Linked DNA regions of Mus musculus. The protein of the gene in region 3 purifies or fractionates together with the protein of the main gene of each other region. This does not show direct contact. Links are inferred from orthologs where the notes say so. Each region holds a gene or a part of one and is shown on either strand. Other genes may lie near its edges. The genes, in order: Edc4, Bag4, Dcp1a, Pnrc1 and Ddx6.

Evidence for each region.
Region 1: the proteins of Dcp1a (region 3) and Edc4 purify together in Homo sapiens (co-immunoprecipitation; 9 studies listed by BioGRID and IntAct, with this or other methods). This does not show direct contact. The link is inferred for Mus musculus from reciprocal best matches to the Homo sapiens genes DCP1A and EDC4.
Region 2: the proteins of Dcp1a (region 3) and Bag4 purify together in Homo sapiens (affinity purification with mass spectrometry; 4 studies listed by BioGRID and IntAct, counting the BioPlex papers as one, with this or other methods). This does not show direct contact. The link is inferred for Mus musculus from reciprocal best matches to the Homo sapiens genes DCP1A and BAG4.
Region 4: the proteins of Dcp1a (region 3) and Pnrc1 purify together in Homo sapiens (affinity purification with mass spectrometry; 3 studies listed by BioGRID and IntAct, with this or other methods). This does not show direct contact. The link is inferred for Mus musculus from reciprocal best matches to the Homo sapiens genes DCP1A and PNRC1.
Region 5: the proteins of Dcp1a (region 3) and Ddx6 purify together in Homo sapiens (affinity purification with mass spectrometry; 8 studies listed by BioGRID and IntAct, counting the BioPlex papers as one, with this or other methods). This does not show direct contact. The link is inferred for Mus musculus from reciprocal best matches to the Homo sapiens genes DCP1A and DDX6.

The regions. Positions count from the first base shown.
Region 1 is NC_000074.6:105,887,304-105,890,991, reverse strand, and holds part of Edc4 (enhancer of mRNA-decapping protein 4), read right to left. Parts: coding exon 3,589-3,688; intron 3,506-3,588; coding exon of another isoform or gene 3,487-3,505; coding exon 3,306-3,486; intron 3,211-3,305; coding exon 3,138-3,210; intron 3,039-3,137; coding exon 2,947-3,038; intron 2,875-2,946; coding exon of another isoform or gene 2,872-2,874; coding exon 2,684-2,871; intron 2,605-2,683; coding exon 2,474-2,604; intron 2,397-2,473; coding exon of another isoform or gene 2,394-2,396; coding exon 2,237-2,393; intron 1,889-2,236; coding exon 1,452-1,888; intron 1,368-1,451; coding exon 1,263-1,367; intron 1,174-1,262; coding exon 1,021-1,173; intron 932-1,020; coding exon 895-931; intron 753-894; coding exon 575-752; intron 471-574; coding exon 315-470; intron 228-314; coding exon 112-227; intron 25-111; coding exon 1-24. UniProt on the Homo sapiens protein: In the process of mRNA degradation, seems to play a role in mRNA decapping. Component of a complex containing DCP2 and DCP1A which functions in decapping of ARE-containing mRNAs. Promotes complex formation between DCP1A and DCP2.
Region 2 is NC_000074.6:25,768,199-25,771,886, reverse strand, and holds part of Bag4 (BAG family molecular chaperone regulator 4), read left to right. Parts: intron 1-553; coding exon 554-808; intron 809-2,184; exon of another isoform or gene 2,185-2,350; coding exon 2,351-2,605; exon of another isoform or gene 2,606-3,477; coding exon 3,478-3,688. UniProt on the Homo sapiens protein: Inhibits the chaperone activity of HSP70/HSC70 by promoting substrate release. Prevents constitutive TNFRSF1A signaling. Negative regulator of PRKN translocation to damaged mitochondria.
Region 3 is NC_000080.6:30,517,422-30,521,109, reverse strand, and holds part of Dcp1a (mRNA-decapping enzyme 1A), read right to left. Parts: intron 2,192-3,688; coding exon 1,433-2,191; intron 1-1,432. UniProt on the Homo sapiens protein: Necessary for the degradation of mRNAs, both in normal mRNA turnover and in nonsense-mediated mRNA decay. Removes the 7-methyl guanine cap structure from mRNA molecules, yielding a 5'-phosphorylated mRNA fragment and 7m-GDP.
Region 4 is NC_000070.6:33,245,862-33,250,301, forward strand, and holds the start of Pnrc1 (proline-rich nuclear receptor coactivator 1), read right to left. Parts: upstream 2,927-4,440; 5' UTR 2,537-2,926; coding exon 2,087-2,536; intron 647-2,086; coding exon 203-646; 3' UTR 1-202. UniProt on the Homo sapiens protein: Nuclear receptor coactivator. May play a role in signal transduction.
Region 5 is NC_000075.6:44,603,484-44,607,829, reverse strand, and holds the start of Ddx6 (probable ATP-dependent RNA helicase DDX6), read right to left. Parts: upstream 2,939-4,346; 5' UTR 2,878-2,938; exon of another isoform or gene 2,594-2,877; intron 897-2,593; exon of another isoform or gene 793-896; intron 708-792; 5' UTR 438-707; coding exon 238-437; intron 1-237.

The DNA.
Region 1 (3,688 bases), on a different chromosome or scaffold from region 3:
TCGGGCAATGGCATCTGTTAAGTTCTAAAATATAGAGAGGGGTCAAGTTGAAAGCCTGAGCCCAACCTGGCCTGTCTAGCTACACTTCCCCCAACCTGGATCCTACATCACCTTGGACTTGAGTAGCTTAGAGATATTCTCTTTCATGCTGCCTTCCACAGCTGTAAGCTTGGTAGCCACTGAGTTGCTTAGTTGACCTGCAACAGGCTCCAGACTTCTGGAGACACCTAGGAGAGGCAGGTGGATGAACCAGAAGTTTGAAAAAGCCCTACACTCACCCAGCCCACTTGAAAGAAAGCTCATGGAAAACTCACATGGAGGAACCGTTTTCTTGATTTCATCCCTTACGCTGCGCTCTAGCCGCCCAGCCACAGCTGAAGACAATGCCTGGGATAGCTGCTGTGTCAGCTGCTCCTGCAGCTGCCCACCCCGTTGCTGCCCCTCAGCCAGTGCCCGTTCCAGCCGCCGTTCTGTGGTGGAGCTAAGGAACAGGCCTACAACAGGACCTACGCCTTTCCTAGGCAAGAATGCTACCGCATCTTACTACCATGCTGTGCCACTACCCCAAGGATACGCTCCTGCTCATGCCGCGTCTCCAGGGCACGCTCTACATGGTCTGTGACAGTACTCTGAAGACCTTCAAGCTGGGCACAGAGACGCTGTAGCAGTTCTTCTTGGTTGTGCCATAGCTCTGCCAGCTCTCTTTGCTGCTGCCAAATTAGTGCTGGCCAGTCTTCAGGGGGCTCTGCCACCTGCCAGAAGCACTGACAACTTACACAATGTCTATCCTGTCTATCTCCACCCCCTCCCGCCCCAAAAAAGAAATAGCTCAAAGTGTGTCCCCCCCCCACCTTGGGATGGGGTCCCATAGGTAGAAGGTCCTCCCTTACATACCTGGTGCTCTGTGAGCCGGGATCCCACAGCTGAATCCCTACATAGGCAAAAAAGCATTGCAGGTCACATCAGGCAGCTTAGGAGACCACCCCTGGCCCTGGTCCCAGAAGCCTCCTATCCTCCTACCCATCATCCTTCTTGCTTTTTCTCTTGAGCTTAGGTGACGTCCGAGGGGATCCCTTCGTCTTCCAATCCTTGGAAGGCAGCCGTGGAGTAGGAATTTTGCTGCCAAAACCTCCTGAGGCAGAGGCAAGGCTGGCAACCTCATCATCATGGTCACTGTGGAAGGGGAAGAGCCTGCTCACCTGCTGTCCCCCTACTAATGGCTCTCCTTCACAGAGGAGCACATAGACCCAGGTGGCGCTCACCTTTGCTCAGCACTTGTGTCCTGACTGTCACGTTGCTGCAGCAAGTGATAAGGTGGCCTGTGGAAAGCCAGACTTTTGTGCTTTTCCTGGAGGCCATTCCTGGGGCTAAGGAAATACACTGGCTCAGGAGTGGCTAATCCTAATGTCCCTCCCACCCCAAGCATAATTTTCCCCTTCTAAGCTTCTCACCTTTCTGTCAGTGTGCTACAGGTCTCACGAGTAATGTCAGGTGCCGTAGGCCAGACTTGACTGTCAGGGGTTGCAACTTCCTGGGTCAGGGCTGCTTCCAGCAGGGAAGGGGTACTATGCCTATCCCCATCTCCAGGGCCTCCATCCAGACCCAGCTGAGAGCCAAGCTCAGGGCCTTGCCTGGGCCGAGGAGAGAGTAGGTGTAGTGCTGAGGCAGCTGAGGCCATGCTGTCTGGCTCAATGAGGCCCTCAGGAACAGAGGAGCCAAAGCCACGGGACAGGGCCTCAGATGCGATTTCAGGAATGTCCTGGGACAGGGCAGTGGATGCTGAGGAGATCACATCAGGAGAACGGGTTCGACTTGGGGAGGCCTGGGGTAGCCCTAATGGCTCCACTTCCTGCAAATCCAAGGACAGTGCAGAGGCAGCAGTGGATACCTGAGAAGGGCAAAGACAAAGGCTTAAGTAACAGGGGCTAAGGGGCGCAAAAACAAGTCACTGGGATCTGCAGTGACGGCCATAATGTAGCAGGAAAGAGAGATGCAGTTGGAAAGTAGGGCCACAGCTCACGAGAGATGGCAATGAGAGGCCGCTCTAACCTTTGGGGAAATGTCACACTTCCAAGGCCCATCAGGGTCAGCAGAAAAATATGCAGGAATAGAGTGCTCCAATCTTTCCCATCGACCTACACCTGCTGCTACCCAGTACTTTATACTCATGCATATCCCCACACACATACCCTCCCCTTCCTCCCTTCCTCCCCCCACCCCCCACCCCCCAACACACCTGACCAGGTCCCTTGGAAATCAACTTGTCAGCTGGGCCTGGGAGCAGGCCCGGAAGGAGGCTTCGAGGGCTTGCCTGCAGGCTGCTGCTGCTGCTGTTTAGCGTCAGGCTGCCATCTAGCTGCAGCTTGGGGCTCAAGGTCAGCTCCTCAGGTGGTCTACTGGCAGAAAGGTAAAGCATTAGCAATTGTAATCCATCTCAGACTGGCACTAGACCCAATTCTGATTTTTATCTTACCTGGGCAAGGAAGGGTCCATGGCTGAGGAGCTGCTCACAGCAGACACAGCTGTTAGAGAGCTGCTGCTGCTGCTGCTGCTGCTACTGCTGCTGCTGCTACTGCTGCTGCTACTACTAGGGGATGCAGAGATCTGGGAAAATCCAGAGAATAAGCACGAAGGTCAGCTAATGGGACACTACCAGAGCTCTCTCCACTGAGGAAGGAAGTACCTGCTGCAGGGAGGCAGTAGGTGTCATGAAAGCATCAGGTGTCATCAACTTGGGCTTGGTCTCACTGCTCAGACTGAGGAAGTCTGCAGGAGCAGGCAGTTCCACAATGCGCCGCAGGTCAGGCTGGGAACCATGAGCAGCTGAAGCTAGCCCCTCGGAGCCTAGTTCAGGTCGAGACTCTCCAAATGCTGCTGGGAAAGCTGCCTAGTCAGGTCTCCAAGCCACAGCAGTGGAACCTGTCTCCCTCCTGTTCCCTTACTCACTGAAGTCCTCGTGGGCAGTGTGGGTAGAGAGTGGGGCCACCACATCAGGGTTCAGCTGTGGCTGGAAGCGGATCTGCACATCTTGTAGTGCCCTAAAGAGCAGCAAAGGGGAGAAGAGAATACTCAAAAAGGCCAGGGCCATAGGGTAGGGGGAACATAGACAGGACATGGCAGGCCTGCCTGACACTCACTTAGTGTGCACACAAAAGAGCTTGATAAGCACACCAGCTGCGGATTCCAAGGCTCCAGCTCCATGGGAACTCTCTGAAAGGACAGTGTGGATCATTAAGGCCTTGGCCTGCTCTGTGCCTGGACACTTCCCACATACCAACGTATAATCCTGCCCCTGGGCAACTCACCGGTCCCCAGACTGTCATTCTCCTCCTCAGCAGGCAGGACCTCAGTGTGCCGTAGCCGGCAGCGACTGACAACCTGGATGCCAAAGCTCAGCACAGGGTGGGTGAGCAGGAACTCAGAGATAGAACTAAAGCACGCGCGGCCCTCGTCCTGGTTCTGCAGCAGCTCCATCACATAGAGGACCTGCATGAGCAACACACTCCTAACTCAACGGAGGCTATGTCACATAGCCCTGCCCTGCCCAGCAACACCAGCTCTTTCCAGCGTACCACCATAGCAGCCTACCTTTCGTTGCACATCACTAAGAATCAAATACTCTGCTGAGAGGTCCAAACAAACTTTGAGGCTGGGAGGCACACTCACTGAGCTGAAGATATCTGGGGAG
Region 2 (3,688 bases), on a different chromosome or scaffold from region 3:
TGATGAACAAACTGTTTATCTGCTAAGTCACTTATTCTTGTTATCTTAATTTTTCATAATAATCCTACAAGGTAAATTTTGGCTCTTCATTTTCCTGTTAGAGAAACGGAAGCTAAGAGTAACTAAATATAAAGCTATTAGAGAGTGTTTCTGACTTTTTCCCCCTTTCTATTATATAATGATATTCCTTTTTCCTCTACCCTGTCTCCAAGGATTCCTAGAGTTGCCTCCTGTGGGCACAAGCTCTCTGCTTAGACATGCAGTTATGAATTAAATGTAAAAAGATGTTTGGGGGACCCATTACTTCTCACTTTGTCATCACCATGTAGTCTTCCATTGATGCCCCTTAATTTATATAGCCTGAGTTCAGTACCTGGAGTGTGATTATAGCAAATAGAGAAAGTACCTCATAGACTGCTTACATAGCTTATATGGTCATCGGTTACTGACATCTTACTTCCTAAAGTTCTCAAGGTTGAACACTAAGGCGTTTTTAGCCCTTCAACCCATTTATCTTTTCCTTGCCACTACCTTTTTTTCCCCCCACCCCCAGAGCCTGAATTCTTATGCAAATGGAGCATATGGACCGCCTTACCCTCCTGGCCCTGGAGCAAGTACTGCCTCCTACTCTGGGGCTTACTATGTACCTGGCTATACACAGAGCAATTACTCCACGGAAGTTCCAAACACCTACCGTTCACCTGGTAACAGCCCAACTCCAATGTCTCGTTGGATGTATTCCCAGCAGGACTGTCCAACAGAAGCACCTCCTCTGAGGGGACAGGTGCCAGGATATCCTGCTTCACAGGTAAGCAGTTTCCCGTGAGGGAAAAAAAATGCCTCTATTTCCTGAATTTTAAACAGTGGAAAGTTACCCATTTACACTGGTTCTGTTTTAAGAAAACAACTAGAGCCATACACGACATGTACATCTTTAACCCCAGTTCTCATGAGGCAGAGAGAGGCAGGTGAAGCCCTTGAGTTCATGACCATTCAGGACTACGTAATGTGACCTTGTCTCAAAAACAAAACAAAACAAAATGGCTGGAGAGATGGCTCAGCCGTTCAGAGCACTGACTGCTCTCTTCCAGAGGTCCTGAGTTCAATTCCCAGCAACCACATGGTGGCTCACAACCATCTGTAATTGGGCTCAATGCCCTCTTCTGGTGTGTCTGAAGACAGCAACAATGCTATTCTCATACATAAAATAAATAAATCTTTTAAAAAAAAAAAAAGAACAAAAAAGGAAGTACTGTAGATGTTAAAAAATTGTTTGACAAGTGAAGGAAGGGGTTTCTTTTATATTGATGCCTAAATGGATGTGGCTGAAGAGACCTTAAAATATCATAATTCCTTTAAATCCTAATATATTTATTATTTGTGTGCATGATGGGAGTTGTAAGGGATGGCACACATGTACCACAGCGCATGTGTAGCGGACAGAGGCCAGCTTTGTGGAGCAGGTTTTCACTTTCTGTGGGTTCCAGGGATCAAACTCCGGTCCCCAGACTTGCATAACAAGTGCCTTTACACACTGAGCCATCTCTCCAGCCCATAATTTATATATTTTTGTCTGTTTCTTTTTTGTCTGTTTCTTCTTTGAGATCAGGTGTTAGTATGTCACCCTGGGCACCTGGAACTCCCTCTACAGACCTAGCTGGCCTCAAATAATCACAGCAAATTGCCTATTTCTCTCCCCTGAGTGTCGGGACTAGATACACATGGTACCACACCTGGCACCTCTTTAGTTTTCTCCTATTTTCATTCTTTTTAATTCCATGTGTACTCGTGACTGTGTGCTCATGTCCATGAGTGCAGGTACTCAGGCCACAGGTGTGAGCACTCCTGGAACTAGAGTGATGGATTCCGGAGCTACCTCATACGGAATCTAGGATTTCAACTTGGATCCTCTAGAAGAGCAGTGTGTGCTCTAACCACTGAGACGTTTCTCCAGCCCCCATACAATTTTTGTAATAGATCTTTAGTTGTTGCTTGAAGCTTTCCCTAACTTAGTCTTTCCTAATGCTTCTAGGTGTATATTAATATGCTGTGAGTATACCAAACCTATTCCTGTTTGTTTTGAGAACACTTCTACTGTCTTATAATGTATGGATTCATTTATCTGTAGTGCTTTTGGAAAATACATGCTTCACCCAGTGAATTTGAAGTCTAACTCATGAGTCTTTTAACAACTCTGTTCTTTATTTTGGGAGCCAGGTTTTCTCAGGTGTGGAGAACTTTTGGTAACTGATTAATGAGTCACTAGCAGGTCAGGACCTGTCTGTGCTGTTTTCATTACGTATAAGCAGTGACCTGCCAGCATAGCAGCATATTTGTTTTCCCAATCTAGAACCCTGGAATGACCTTGCCCCATTATCCTTATGGAGATGGCAACCGCGCTGTGCCGCAGTCAGGAGGGACTGGACGACCACAAGACGATGCCTGGGCTTCCAGCGCTTATGGGATGGGAGCCCGTTACCCCTGGCCTTCAGCTGCACCCTCAGCCCCCTCGGCTGGGAGCCTGTACATGACGGAAAGTGCTTCACCGTGGCCAGGCAACAGTTCTCCTCAGCCGCCTCCTTCACCCCCACCTCAGCAGCCTAAGGTAGGAGGCCTTCCGAGTGCTATTCCTTTGATCTCTAGGCAATTAAGAGGACACAAGACGACACTTCTTTCTCTGTATTAGTCTGTTAGATGCAAAACAGTTGGTGGTTTCTACTAAGCATGGTGTTAGCTTCCTTTTCTCTTACAGACAGTATTGTTTGGGGATTTTTTTTAAGGTTCTTATCTGTTGTTGTAATTTTTCATTATTTTTTATGTGTACGGATATCCTGGCTGCCTGTATGTCTATGGGCCACATATGTGCTTGTTGCCCTTGGAGGCTTATCCCCTGGAACTGGAGTTACAGACAGTTATGAGCTGCCTTGTAACTTCTGAGAATCAAATTTGGGTCCTCAGGAGAAGCCATCTCTCCAGGACCATATCTTTTTTAAAAAGACAGGAAAATGCTTCTTTTCTGCCGGAACTATCTGAATATTAAATAGAATCAAGGGATGTATTTCACAATCTCATGTTATGCAGCGAGAGGAAAATCGATGTGAATAGCACGTGCTGGCTTGGGTGCTGGGCTTTACATAAGCCATAGACACACACTCTGCTTTTGCCTATGCTCTGAAGGCTTTCACTGTCTAAGGGAAACTAATGATTAAGTCACCGAGGAATTGTGAGGTCGTAAAATTGGGAAGTGTTCACAGAGTGACTTGCATTGAGGTAGATTCCAACCATCGTATTTAGGAATTGTGTGCCTCCTGCTTCAAAGGGCTCTCCCTTTGTCGTCTAACAGTGTTGGTCTCTGATGGTTCTGTGGAAGTCTTTTCAGTTCTTTCCTGGTTGGTAAACGATGCACACTGACATATCTGATGTTGATAGCTTCCCACTAAGACAGCTTCTGTCTCCTTTCTGTCTTCCCATTTCAAGGACCCCTCGTACTCCTACAACCCATCGGGTCAAGGCCTGAGCCGGCACAGCTTTCCCTGCAGCGTCCATCAGTATGAATCTCCGGGAGCAGTGAACAATGACAACTCAGACCTTTTGGATTCTCAAGTCCAGTATAGTGCTGAGCCTCAGTTATATGGTAATGCCAGCAGCGAGCATCCCAGCAACCAAGTTCCGAGTAATAATCTCCCAG
Region 3 (3,688 bases):
AGTCTGGTTAGTGGCACTAAACAGCCTTCATCCTAAGTATACTGTAAGAGACAGAGAAGGTCCTTTTGTTGTTTGGTTTTGAGACCTGGGTTGTTCAGGCTGGTCTCTAACTTGAGACCCCTCTGCCTCAGCTTTCTTCACTATGTTTTTATAGGTGTGAATGCTCATGGTCTTTGGGAAAGAATTAATGCTGCCCAGTAAACACAAGACAACTCCATGCAGACCAGGGTTTTTTTGTTTTGAGAAAGGATAGTCCTGGCTAGCCTGGAGCTTGCTATGTAGACCAGGCTAGACTTGAAATCACAGATTGCCTACTGAGACTAAAGGCATTTGCCACTATATCAGGCAAGAAGATCTTAAAATTAGCTATTGCCATGTAAATGAGTATTTACACATATGTAAGTGGTTTCTGCCAAGCAGCATGCAGGAGCGTCACTGTCTTCTAGTGCTGAGTATGGAGAAGGCAGGTGCAGATCATTACCTGAGCTTCCAGATCAACTGAGAGGTGGGGCAACCCTTTCCCTCACAACCAGAAACCCAAACAAACTCCCTTCATATGTTTCTTCCTGCAGTCAGTCCATCAGAGCAAAGGAAGAGGAGCGAGAGCACTCCTGGCCCGTGACACCTACACACAGCACAGGCCCTGCCCGCGCGCACATCATTCCTTCCTTCTTGTGTCAGACCCAAATACTGACAGGCAGGCAGCAGTCACAGAGCAGCACACCCCACTCCCTTCCAGCTGTGGCCATGTGATCATCACACTCTGCTCGTTTTCTCCCTGGTAAACTTGCTATTGAAGGGCAAACCTCTCCTTTACCCTCTCTACCAATCGACCACGAAGCCTCCCTGACCGGATACTTTAAAAATCTCCTTGTCCACAGTGCTCAACCCAGGCCCCTACTGCTCAGGCAAAGTGATTGACAGCTTGTCCTGGAACAGGTGGCCAGATTCCTGTTTCTGACATTACCAACAAGTCACTCTTCGTTCAGAACCTTTCAATGCCTTCCTAAGGTCTGAAATATAACTCACACTCCTTAACTACAATGTAGTCACCTTCCAATGCAAATTCCTCCAGGTCTGTTTACACAGCAAATCTGAGTTACTACAGAACCTGGAAACCCACGCATGCATATACACCTGCGTACAAGTCTACATGCCAAGATCAGTTACAGACCACAGATAGACAGACAGGGCCCCCTCACCCCACAGAGCAAATTTAGTTATAGACCATGGAGACAGACAGATAGACAGACAAGACAGACACACACATCATCTTTAGTTGGGTATGGCTGCTGCACAAAATACACACACACACACACACACACACACACACACACACACACACACACACACACACACACAAAGTCTCATGTCACTTAAAGCTGAGGCCTCTGTAGTCTTGTTTCTCTATGCCCTCCTGCTCCTGTCTTACCTGGAGGGTTGGAGCAAGCACCATGTTGCTCAGGGAGGCTGAGACTGCTGCTCTTGCTGCTGCTGTCTTAGAAGAAGGCTCTATGAAGCTCTCAGGGGTGGCCAGTTGGCCAGCTGCCGAAGAAAAGCTGGGCGCCATGGTTCCTTTTCCAAGCGGCTGTGCTTGTATTTGGTCATGCTGTGGGGTCAACCTGAGTTTCTGAAGCAGATCAACGCTTGGGAGGGCTGTGCCAGCTGGGTTTGCTAGGCTCACCGGGGCTCTGAAGGGGCTCTGGCTAGCAACCAGACTGCTGTGGCTTAGCTCAGGGACTGGCTGGTTCAGGAGTGGAGATTTCTGCCTGGGTGTGGTCTTTACTGCTTGTATCATGGTGCTATTCCGAGGTAAGTGGGGAACTTGTGTGGTAGGAGCTTCAGCTGGCAGAGTGGGGCTGAGGACAGGGCTCAGTGGGAGTGTGTAGCTTGGGGGATGTTTGTCACCCGACTGTGCAATGGAGGCGGGAGTGATCAGCACTGGGGTGCTGACTTCAGGCTGAACTGTGTGGTGAGCGGCAGAATGGATACCCAGGTTTTCAGACTGAGGGGCTCCCCCTGACTGCTCAAAGGGAAATGGGAGGAATGAGCTGGGCTCTTTCTGTGATGCATCTCCCAGCAGCTTGTCTGTGTCCTCTGACTCTAGACCCATAGCTGTTGGTTGTTCCTTTGGCAAGGAGGTTCCAAATAACTCTTCTACTGTCAGATGTTTATGACCAGACGGAGCAGACTGAAAAACAAAAGCAAGTGACAAAATCAAAGAGAGGCGCAGAAACCAATGTAACTAGGATTCTTTTCCATCATGTGCACATATGGAGAAGCAAGGACAGCGGATGAAAACAGCCTGGAGCAACCTGAGGTGCAGCAGGGCTCAGACCACCTTCTAGCAAAGTCTGTAGAGTGACAAAGTTCCGTACGGAGAACAGTTTTAGCATTTACTCTGTTTCCCCTGGTGAATGTGGCTAAGGTTGGGGCTATACACAACAAAGTTACCCACACCGAGTGTCCACATTAGTAACACACTGGCAAATGATGCCAGTGCGAGAGGACCAAACTCTAAGTGGCTCACTTTTATTGTTCTTGATAGAACGTTAGCACTGCACTGCAGATCCTAAACACCTAAGGCAACTTTAACCACTCAGTACTCAGTCATGACTCCCCTACACCCTCAAATTACAGAATCCTGAGGAAAAAGGAAGACATTTACACTGAATTTAGAGGTGTGTTTGTGTGTGTGGGAGCTGGAGCGATGGCTCAGCTTAGTTAAGAGCACTGGCTGCTCTTCTAGAGGTCCTGAGCTCAATTCCCAGCAACCACATGGTGGCTCACAGCCATCTGTAATGGAATCTGATGCCCTCTTTGGTATGTCTGAAGACAGCGACAGTGTACTCATATAAATTAAGTAAATAAAACTTTAATAATAATAAAAAAAAGAAGTTGGGGAAGTGGTTTAGTGGTAGAACTCTTACCTAGCATATGCACATGCATAAAGAATATATTTTTTATCCCTTTTTGCTATGGCCTTATATTTAGAGTGAGATTCTGAACCTGGAGCGCGCGCGCGCGCGCGTGTGTGTGTGTGTGTGTGTGTGTGTGTGTGTGTGTGTGTTTGGTATTATGAGACAAGGTCTTTCCACACTGCTTGGGCTGTCCTGGAACTATGTAGACTGGATTGGCCTTAAACTCAGAGAGATCCTCCTACAGTGAGTCTACATCCAAATCCCTTTATAAATTACAGGAGTAACAACAATAGTATCCTATCAATTCACAAGGCTCATTCCCTCATAGTCTTACATTCTCCAGATCCCACTATTCTCAAGTACTAACTGGAAAATTTACATAACTGTAAACATAAAAAAATATAATCACAAATGTAACTGTGACAATTATTTCACAGCTCTACTATGAAGCCAGGCTGGCCTTGAAGCTTCAACAATTCTGGTTCAGCTTCCTGATTACTGAATGCCCAGTAGTTTAAAAAAAAACCAAAAGCCAAAAACCAAACCTATTCTTTATGCTGAAACAAGACGGCTAGAGATTCTGTGACAAAAAATGAACTAAAACGTGCATGTGGTAGTTCATCCCTATAATCCCAGGATGGGGAGGCTGAGGCAGGAGGACTAGTCTGAATATAAGGTAATCCAAGGCAACAAAGCATGTTTCCAAACTAGACAACCAACCGACCAATATCCTACCTCCCTCCTCACCCGCCCCCAGAAAATAAAAA
Region 4 (4,440 bases), on a different chromosome or scaffold from region 3:
GTCCTCTCAAGTATGAACAATGTACACATAATACATGGTATACAGTATTTACAAAATATAAAATATAATACAAGCTGCTTGTGTGACTTAAGCTCATTGTGTCGGATGCTGCAACAGGGCAAGTTTTCACTGCTGTATCCGTTTCCTTTCGAGTCCAAAGGTCTGGGGAAATCGATGTTTACCACACACTGCAGACGCAAGCCTAGGTCTGCACCTTGAGGAGCGTTTTCAAGTGCACTGCCATCAGCTCCCGGCTCTGGCTGGGGTTCTCGGCGGTACTTCCCATCCAGTGACTCGGAGGCTTTGGGAGGACACTAGGGGAAGGTGGGTCACTGAACTTTGCTCCGGCGTAATTTTCCTTTTGGCTCACTTCTGTTAGAAATGCTGATTTCTTCAAATGGTTACTTTTAATGTTCTCAGTATTTTTAAAAGACTTTTTTTCCTGCTTCTGCATTCGATCGGAGGAAGCAGAATCCTGCCAAAAGTCACTTTCATTCCTTTTTGCAGAGGTGATCTTGGTTAGTGGCAAGTTGTATTTGCTTTTCTGTCTGTTTATCTTTGGTTGTTCACACAAGTGTATACCATGCACAAGCTGGCTGTGGGGAAGGGCAATTTTCTCCGATTTTCCCATCTTTGATTTTAAAACCTACAAAGGAACACAAAAGTGAGCAATTTTCAAGATAAAAGTTATCTTTACATATATTTTACAAACTTGCTTTTAAAGTCCTCTAGAATTTAATCCGGTTTTAAATAAATACGTTATGTGTGGGATGTGCTTACTACTGGATGTTCAAATGTGCACGCCTCTTATGTTGCTATTGAATTGATGCTGTTAATTATAGCATATATCAAACTTACATTCAGAAAAATATCACTTAAAAAAAACTCAATGTCCATCTTTTCTAACTGTAAACAACAGTAAGGAACAAGTGTCCTCTATAGGTTAGAAAAAAAGTTCCCGTCTGCCTTTCAGATTCAGCAACTTCATGGACGACCTTCTAAGCTCAGCCAAAAGGTCTGTAAGGCAGAAGCAGAAAGGTAAATTCCAGGCCAGCCGGGGCTACAGCCCGAATCCTAACAGGCCACAAACTTTTGCACTGTAGTAACTTTCCCAGCATAATCTACAGAAATGTGCACCAAATGAAAACACCCTTAGATCACTGCCCCTCTGATGCTTGCATGATATAGTAAGGACACAAAAACTGAGACCCAAGTACAAGGTCATACTGTCTTTCCCGTTCAAAACTGCCTCTGAAAAATAGAATCTTCTCCAATGTACAGTGAGTTCTAAGCTAATGCAAGTGCCTGTCTGAAAAACTAAAAACCAAACCAAACCAAACAAAAAACCACTTCAGGATCTAAATTCTTATTCCTCTTCATGGGCACATCTTGATCAAGTACAATTTCAGTACAATGGCTGCTTTTCGTGTCACTACCAACAAAGAATTCTTCAAGCTGTATGAAAAAGGTGGTTTCGGCTTTTGTTTTTCATGCTAAGACAACTCTCAAATCCTTTAGCCTCGACAAAACTGTATCCCAGTTATCCAGATCCGTTAACCGAGGAGTCCATTTTATAACTTCTAAAAACTCATTCAGGGCGCTGCTTAGAAGCCCCCTCCAGCGAGGCAAGCTCGTGCCGGCCTGCACAGGGCCCGGGACACCTTCGCGTCGGGCATCAGACGGAGACTCCTGCCAACTTCCCAACAGCAGTCCGACTCAGCGGATCTGGCTGTGCGTGGGTCCCGCCCGCCCGGTGCCCCACTGGGCACCGCGCCTGCGCCTGCGCCTCCGCCCCCACCCAGCACCGCCTTCATGAGCGCCCCAGAGCGCTGCACGTAGCGGGCTGACGTCAGCCCTCCGCAGGTCCCTGAGCCCCGAACGCCGAAACCCCCTGGAGCGCCGCCAAGCTTCTAAATGCAGGCTGTTGCTGGGCCGTAGCCGCCGCTCCCATTGGCTGGCTCCGGAGCCAATGGGCGGCGCCAGCGCAGCCGCCCAGCCCCCCTCCCGCTTCCGCCCCACCACTCGAGCGAGCGTCACGGAAACTTCCCTCCCGAGTAAACAGCCGCCCCGCCCCCACCGGCCCTACCTCCTTCGCGAGTGGGGGCTGTCTGTGGAGCAGGGCAGTGGCCGCCAGACCTCGCTCCTCCTGCGCGACGATTGGCCCCGGCGCCGGGCTGCGACCACCCTCCAGGCTCGGCCGGTGCTGCTGGAACTGGTGGAAGCGGCTGGGCAGCTGCCCGGCCGGGCTGGCCCGCACCTTTTTCTTCCGCCGCTTCTTGGGCGCCGCCCGCGGGGCAGCCGCCGGGGCCAAGGTGCAGCCGGACGGCGCGGTGGTGCGAGGCGCGGGCGCCAGGCACGGCCCGTCCCCCCCGAGGAAGTGCGGCAGGAAGAGGGTGGGTGGCAGCGCGCGCGGGTCCGGAAGGCGCGGCAAGGGCGGCGGGGCCGGGTTCACCATCGGGAGGGCCCCGAGGAACCCGAGCGGCGCTAAGCGGCCGCTCAGAGCGAGATCTCGCTGTGGGACGGAGACGACGGTCATGGCGCGGGGACTCGGCAGAAAGGCGGGGAGCAGGAGTCACGGGGCGGCGGCGGAGGCTGCTGCTGGAAGGTTCGGAGCAAGGACCATGACTCGGGCGAGGCGGCGCAGCAACAAATAGCGCTGGCCACCGCGGCCAGTGTTGTTACCCGAGGCCCCGCCCCGTGCCCGCCCACCTCCCTGCGGCGGCCCAATCCGCGTGCGCCTGCCAGGCCACTCCCTCGGTCCCGCCTCCGCGCCCCGAGGCAAGACACAAACAAGCAGCCTGCTGCAGCCCTTCACAAAGAGCGCACGTTGCGCAGGCGCGCCCAACGGGCTCTTACCGAGAGTGTCCCGTGAACAATGAAGTTCGACTTCTGCCTCACCTCCCTGGCAGCGATCCTTTGGGGTAGCCTGGGGGTGGGGCAGGGGAGGAGGAGGAGAGAGGCGGTGGAGGAACTAGGAAGCTTCTGACCTCCAGAAAGGACTGCTTTGTAGGTTTTCGATTTCAGCCCTACATAAAAATTTTAAGAGATTTCGGAGAACACTAAGGATTTATTTCACTAAGGATTTACAGCACTGGTGAAGATCTGCCTCCATTTAACCTACAGTGAAATTTGGCTATGTGGTTTCTCATTCGGTTTTCCGACGCTGCCAATTAACCCTGGTGGTGAAAATAAAAAAGGGTTTACTGAAGGATTCTTCAGCTCATCAGAAGTACTCTATAATGCCGAAAATGGGCCTTTAATTTTTTACTGCCTTTATAGCTAAAGATCTCTGGGAGTCTCTTGAGATCTCACATTGCCCCTGAAACTTGATGCTGCTGCCAACCAATTGGCCTTTGTCCCACCCAGAGAAAACAGCTCTGCTACAGTTGCTAGCTAACTGGGTTAACAGAATTCTCTACTCACAGTTTAATACAGAAAAGAACTGTAGACACCAGTTACCAAATAGGACCTCAGAACCAATTTCTGTAATTCATCTTGTTTGAAACATACTTCTTTAATGATTGGGGCTTTATTTATTTAGTTTCCTCTTTTTTCTTTCTTCGAGATGGCGTTACTCTTTGTGTAGCCCAGGCTGTACTCTGTACTCGATCTGTAGACCAGGCTGGCCTCGAACACAGAGATACACCAGTCTCTGCCTCCCTAGTGCTGGGATTAAAGGCCCATGTCACCATTGTCCAATAATTTTTTTTTAATCATTTTACAGTAAGGCATACAAGAGACTAAAGAATTAGACACAAATCATTAAAAAATTAACAGAAGAATCTGAACTCTGGTCTAGGTATGGCAAGGTCAAGACCTGTAACACTAGCTCCTGGAGAGGCAGAAGTAGAGGATGGGAAATTTCTAGTGTAGGGAATTTAATGAGACTCTGCCTCATAATAAAAAGAGCAGGGCATCTAGATGGATCAGTGAGTAATTAAAATGCTTGCTATATAAGCCTAGCAGCCTGAGTCCCATCCCTGTAAGCCACCTAAAAATGAAAGACAGCCAAAACCACAAAGTGGCCCTCTGACTTCCAAACACATTCTGCCGCAAACCTGCTTCCACTACACACACACACACACACACACACACACATAGACACACACACACTGTGAGGAGAACAGAAGATGGGAATGAGCTAGGAGGTTAGAGGCAGGGAATAGTTCCATTGTCTTTGGCCAGCAGTAGGGAATGTCTTTGTTCTCAGGCTAGAGATCCCAGAAGGGAGCCCTGACATCTTACTTCTTTCTACACAGCCACTCCCAGTACATTGATTCTTTGATAGTGAACAGATGATGGTGAAAGTCAGGAATATCCATTCCTGATTTCAGTTCAGACCTTTTTTTTTTTTTTTTTTTTTTGAGACAGGGTTTCTCTGTATAGCCCTGGCTGTCCTGGAACTCACTTTGTAGACCAGGCTGGCCTCAAACTCAAAAA
Region 5 (4,346 bases), on a different chromosome or scaffold from region 3:
CTGAACTAACACCAGCACATTTATTTCTTAACACACTAATTTATAGACGTCTATGTTCCTTATTTGCTGGGTCGATTACAATGGCAGGTCACACACTACTTGATTACAAATACCTACTGGGCCATGACAAAATGATCTATCCTCCAACTGCAATCAAAACAGTTAATGTAAGGCATAAAGTAGTCAACAACAGAAATAACCAGAAACTGCGGGTCCCCAAGGTCTTCTTCCACTTACTTAATAGTGGCGGCCATGCTCTGGGCTTGCTGTGGAGTGCCATTATTGATTGTGCTGGTGTTCTTCAACTGGTTCAGCTGTGGCTGTGGCTGTGTGCCCCCTCCTCCAGGGCCAGCACTGGCCTTCACAGGGCCCCTCAGCTGGCCGTTCTGACTGGACAGACCCATGATAACAGGGTTCTCTGTTCTGGCCGTGCTCATGCTTTGTTAGCTGCACAGGTGTCTCTTCCAAACTTCAAACTTTTCAAAGTCAGTAGAGAAACTGTAATAACAGTTTATGAGGCTCTCCAAAATGAAGAGATAAATAAGTCCTGCTCAATAATATGAGTCCTTTATTGCAGTTCAGGCAAGCACCTGTAAGTCTCTCAACGGTGAGCAGCAGTAGTTAACTTGCTTTCATGCACCGAATCAACTTTTTTTTTTAAAGCCCTCTAACAAGCTTGAATTATATCTGAATTCACTCACTTCAATCTGAAACAAAGAAAAAATTAAATTAGCAGACAACAAAGTTGGGGGAAAATTGTTCCCTTTTAAAGAGCTCCTTTAGAATGCTCACCTTCTAGAGAACCACTAACAGCCACACTCAGGCCAAATCACTACTTGAGATAAGAAAGACACATCGAAGAACTGCCTTAAAAAACCCAATCTACAAAAAAAAAAAAAAAAAAAAAAAAAAATCTAACCTCAAACATTTAAAATTCCAAGATCAAAGAAACTTAGAGAAAGTGAGGCAGAAAGATACTATTGATAAAATTCAAATTCACTCTCAAATAACAATCTGTTCTCCAATCGCCCCTGATGAATTCGAAGTCCTGCCACCTTTAAAAGTCATTACGTTTAATTGCATTAAGACTTGAAATATCACTCAATTTACTTAATGTACATCTAGATTTGACCAAGACAAGTTATTAACTTTTTTTCTATTTCTGACAGAAACCAAAAACCTTAAAACGAGAAGACTTTTCAAAAAAAAAGTTGAAAGCTGTTAGTGCTGCCTTTTAATACAACACTTTTCAAAATAAAGTTCAAAGGTGGGGGCGGGGAGTCCTGTAGTTAAGGGGGAAAGAAATACCAGAGAGTTAAACTTACAGGTTTAATAAAATTCTCCCAAATCACCTAGAATACAGCGTCTAATTAACAGTTATTTTAAGAAAGAGTTGGTCAACCTCCTCTACTTTAAATTGTTCCCCAAATGGAATTCTCAAAATTTGGTAAATAAAATATTACTAAGGACTTGTAAGTATAAGTCCAACTCCTTCAGTTTTATTTTGTAACCCCCTTACATTTCACTGGCACCCGAAACACTAGCTTAATTAGTACTGGTTATCTTTGCCTCAAACCAAGTATCCCAAATCCATAATTTAGAAGTCAAAAGATATCTCAAGTTAAATACATCAACTTGCTCACAAATGCTTCTATCACATTAAATTGTTTATTTGTTATCTCAATAGGTATTTTCTGTATTGACAGCATACGATCAACAGTATCAGGTCCGTCAAACAGGAAGGCTTACTGTTTGTACAGCACTAAGAGGATGAAGGGGGCAACCTCTGAATCCTAACCGACACCATCAGTACTGTCAATCAAGCACAGTAAAACCTCCTAGCGCCTTAAACCCAGAGACTTCGATAACTGCTCCCTCCAGAAACGGATACCTGCACTGCAGCTTTATGGCTCAGTGGGAAATTTTTCGTCCTACCCCTTCCCAATTTAGATTTGCAAGTTATATTCCTAAAACAAAACCACGAAGGAACATAAGACTTAGTTGGGAGGAGCCCCTGGCAGAGTTAATTACAGCAGGGCCCAGACCGTGGTTAGCAATTGACAGTTTTCACACCTAAAACAGTCCCATAAGCTCCAACAAGGGCTTTTGTTTGCAAATACAGGGCGATTTCTATACGCCTCAACAGGAAGTAGGAGTGATTGGGGTTCTTACGAAGGTAAAGGGGGGCTATGGCGAAGGGAAAACCCTAAGCCAAGAATCGGAGTCCGGTAACCGTAAGGCAATAATTCCTCGCCCCCTCCCCCAACTTCCCTCGCTTCAAACCCAGCTCCCTCGGATCAAAAAGCAAAAGGGTTTCTGCCCTGCAATCCTATCTGCGCCACAAGAGCCGGAACCAGCTCTGCGAGTGGGAAACAATAGGGACTCCCCCCCCTCAGAAGGCCCGGAAGAGAACCCCGAAACTGGACCGCCTCTCCTCCCCTCTTACGCCGCCGAGTCTCCCCCAAACCCTCTGTCCCCACCAACCTGCAAGGCCTACTTGCAAGCGAGCAGCCGCGGCTCCTCTCCCAGCCGAGTCCCCGGCCAGCACAGCCCTGCCACCCCCCGCAGGGCTGCCCTGCCTCGCACTCCCAACCTCACTCGGGTGTCCCGGCCGGTGTTCCGTCCCCGCTCCCGTCTACCGCACCGCTCGTCCAGAGCTCCCCGCCGCTCCTCCTCCATACCCCGCACACGCCACATTCCTCGGTTCCACTCCTCTCCGCCGCCCCCGCTCTTCTCAGCGGCCACCCGCCCGTCCTCCCGGGCCAGGCCTGGGCCTCGGGCTTCTGCCCGAAGGGGGCTCCCTGATACCCTCAGGATCCTGCCGACCCCGACCACGCCGCCTCACCCCACGCCCCGCGGCTCGGGCCCGAGTCCTACCACCGAGGCCACTCCCGCTCCGCACCCTCGGTCCTTTATTGTTGACTCGAAGCTCCCAAAATGGCGGCGGCTCCTTCCTCCTCGGAAACCTCCGCCCGCCCCCACCCGGCCCCTCGCCGCGACGCCCGCCGCCCCGCCCCGCCCCCGCCGCGACGCTCGCTGCCCGCGCAGCTCGCCGCCGCCGCCGCCGCCGCCACCCCGCACTACCTCGGCCGGCGCCCGCTGTGCCGGCGCCCCCGATGTCGCCGCCGCCGGGCTGAGCTGACTCTGCTGCTCTGCCCCCTCCCTCGCCCGCCGCCGTCGCCTCCCTCCCTCCTTCCCAGCCGCTCCGCATGGCGGCGGCCGCGGCTCCTCCTCCTCCACACAAGATGGCGAGAGCTCGGCCGCTGCAGCTGCAGCCGCCGCGGCGTCACGGCTTCCTGGGCGCGGCGGGCGAGGGTCGGGAGAGACCGGCCTTTGACGGGGCCGAGCTCAGGGAAACACGGGGTTGCTTTCGGGACGGAGGGACGGACGGATGGACGGACGGGCGAGAGGGCTTGCCTGCAGAGCTGACGAGACCGCTGGGGAAATGAATGGCGGTGGCCGAGGACTGTCGCCCTTGCCTTCGTTCGTCCCTTCGGAGCTGGGCTGACGGGTCCCGGGCCGGAGGGGACGTCTGCTGACTGCTGACCTCGGACACACTCGGAGGGCAGCCTGCGCGGGTCCGGAAGCTGAGCTGGGATGGCCGGGAGGACGCTGCGAGGCCAGGGCGTGCAGAAAAGTGGGGCCTTTGGGGCCGATGCTGTCTGAGAGGGAGCGGGAAGGGGCACCGGGGGAAGCAGTGAGCCGGGAGCGCGCCCTCGGTCGTGGGCTATCAAACCCGGAGTGCAGGCGAGGTGACCCTTTGCTCCTGCCCGCAGTGGCACTCTTCTAGAAAGAAGGGCGGATCGCCTCTACCAGTGAGGGCTCGCTGTGCAAATGGGAGACCCGTAGATTCTCCTGCCTGACCCTTACTGCAGATATTTGTGCGTTTGTTTCTATGATTCTCGGATCCTGATGTCTTATCCTTAACCTAGAAAGTCGTCTTGTTCCAAGCAAAACAAACTTTTTTGTTTGTTAAGTAAAAATCGAGCTGGGCCGGAGAAAGTTAAAAACTCGCGTCTTACGCTGCTGGAGGGCTGGAAATACTGACAGTGGTTAAACCCTTTGGGACAGTGCGATTCCTTACTAAACACCGACGTTAGGGAATCCTGGACAGTCAGTACTTAGTCACTGACTTGCAGCTTCCATATTTTTACCGCTGCTTCCAACTTGAGACCAATCAGAGAAAGCCAAATATGCTCTCTAAACCAATGACTCCCTGCTTCCAGCCCTCCTGCTTCTTAGCTAGCAACATCCAATCAGAATAAGTCTGAAGCCCCCCCCCCCCTTTTAAACCGCTGCGCTCTCCTGTTTTTTGTTTTTTGTTTTTTACTTGAGAGCCCAAGTCT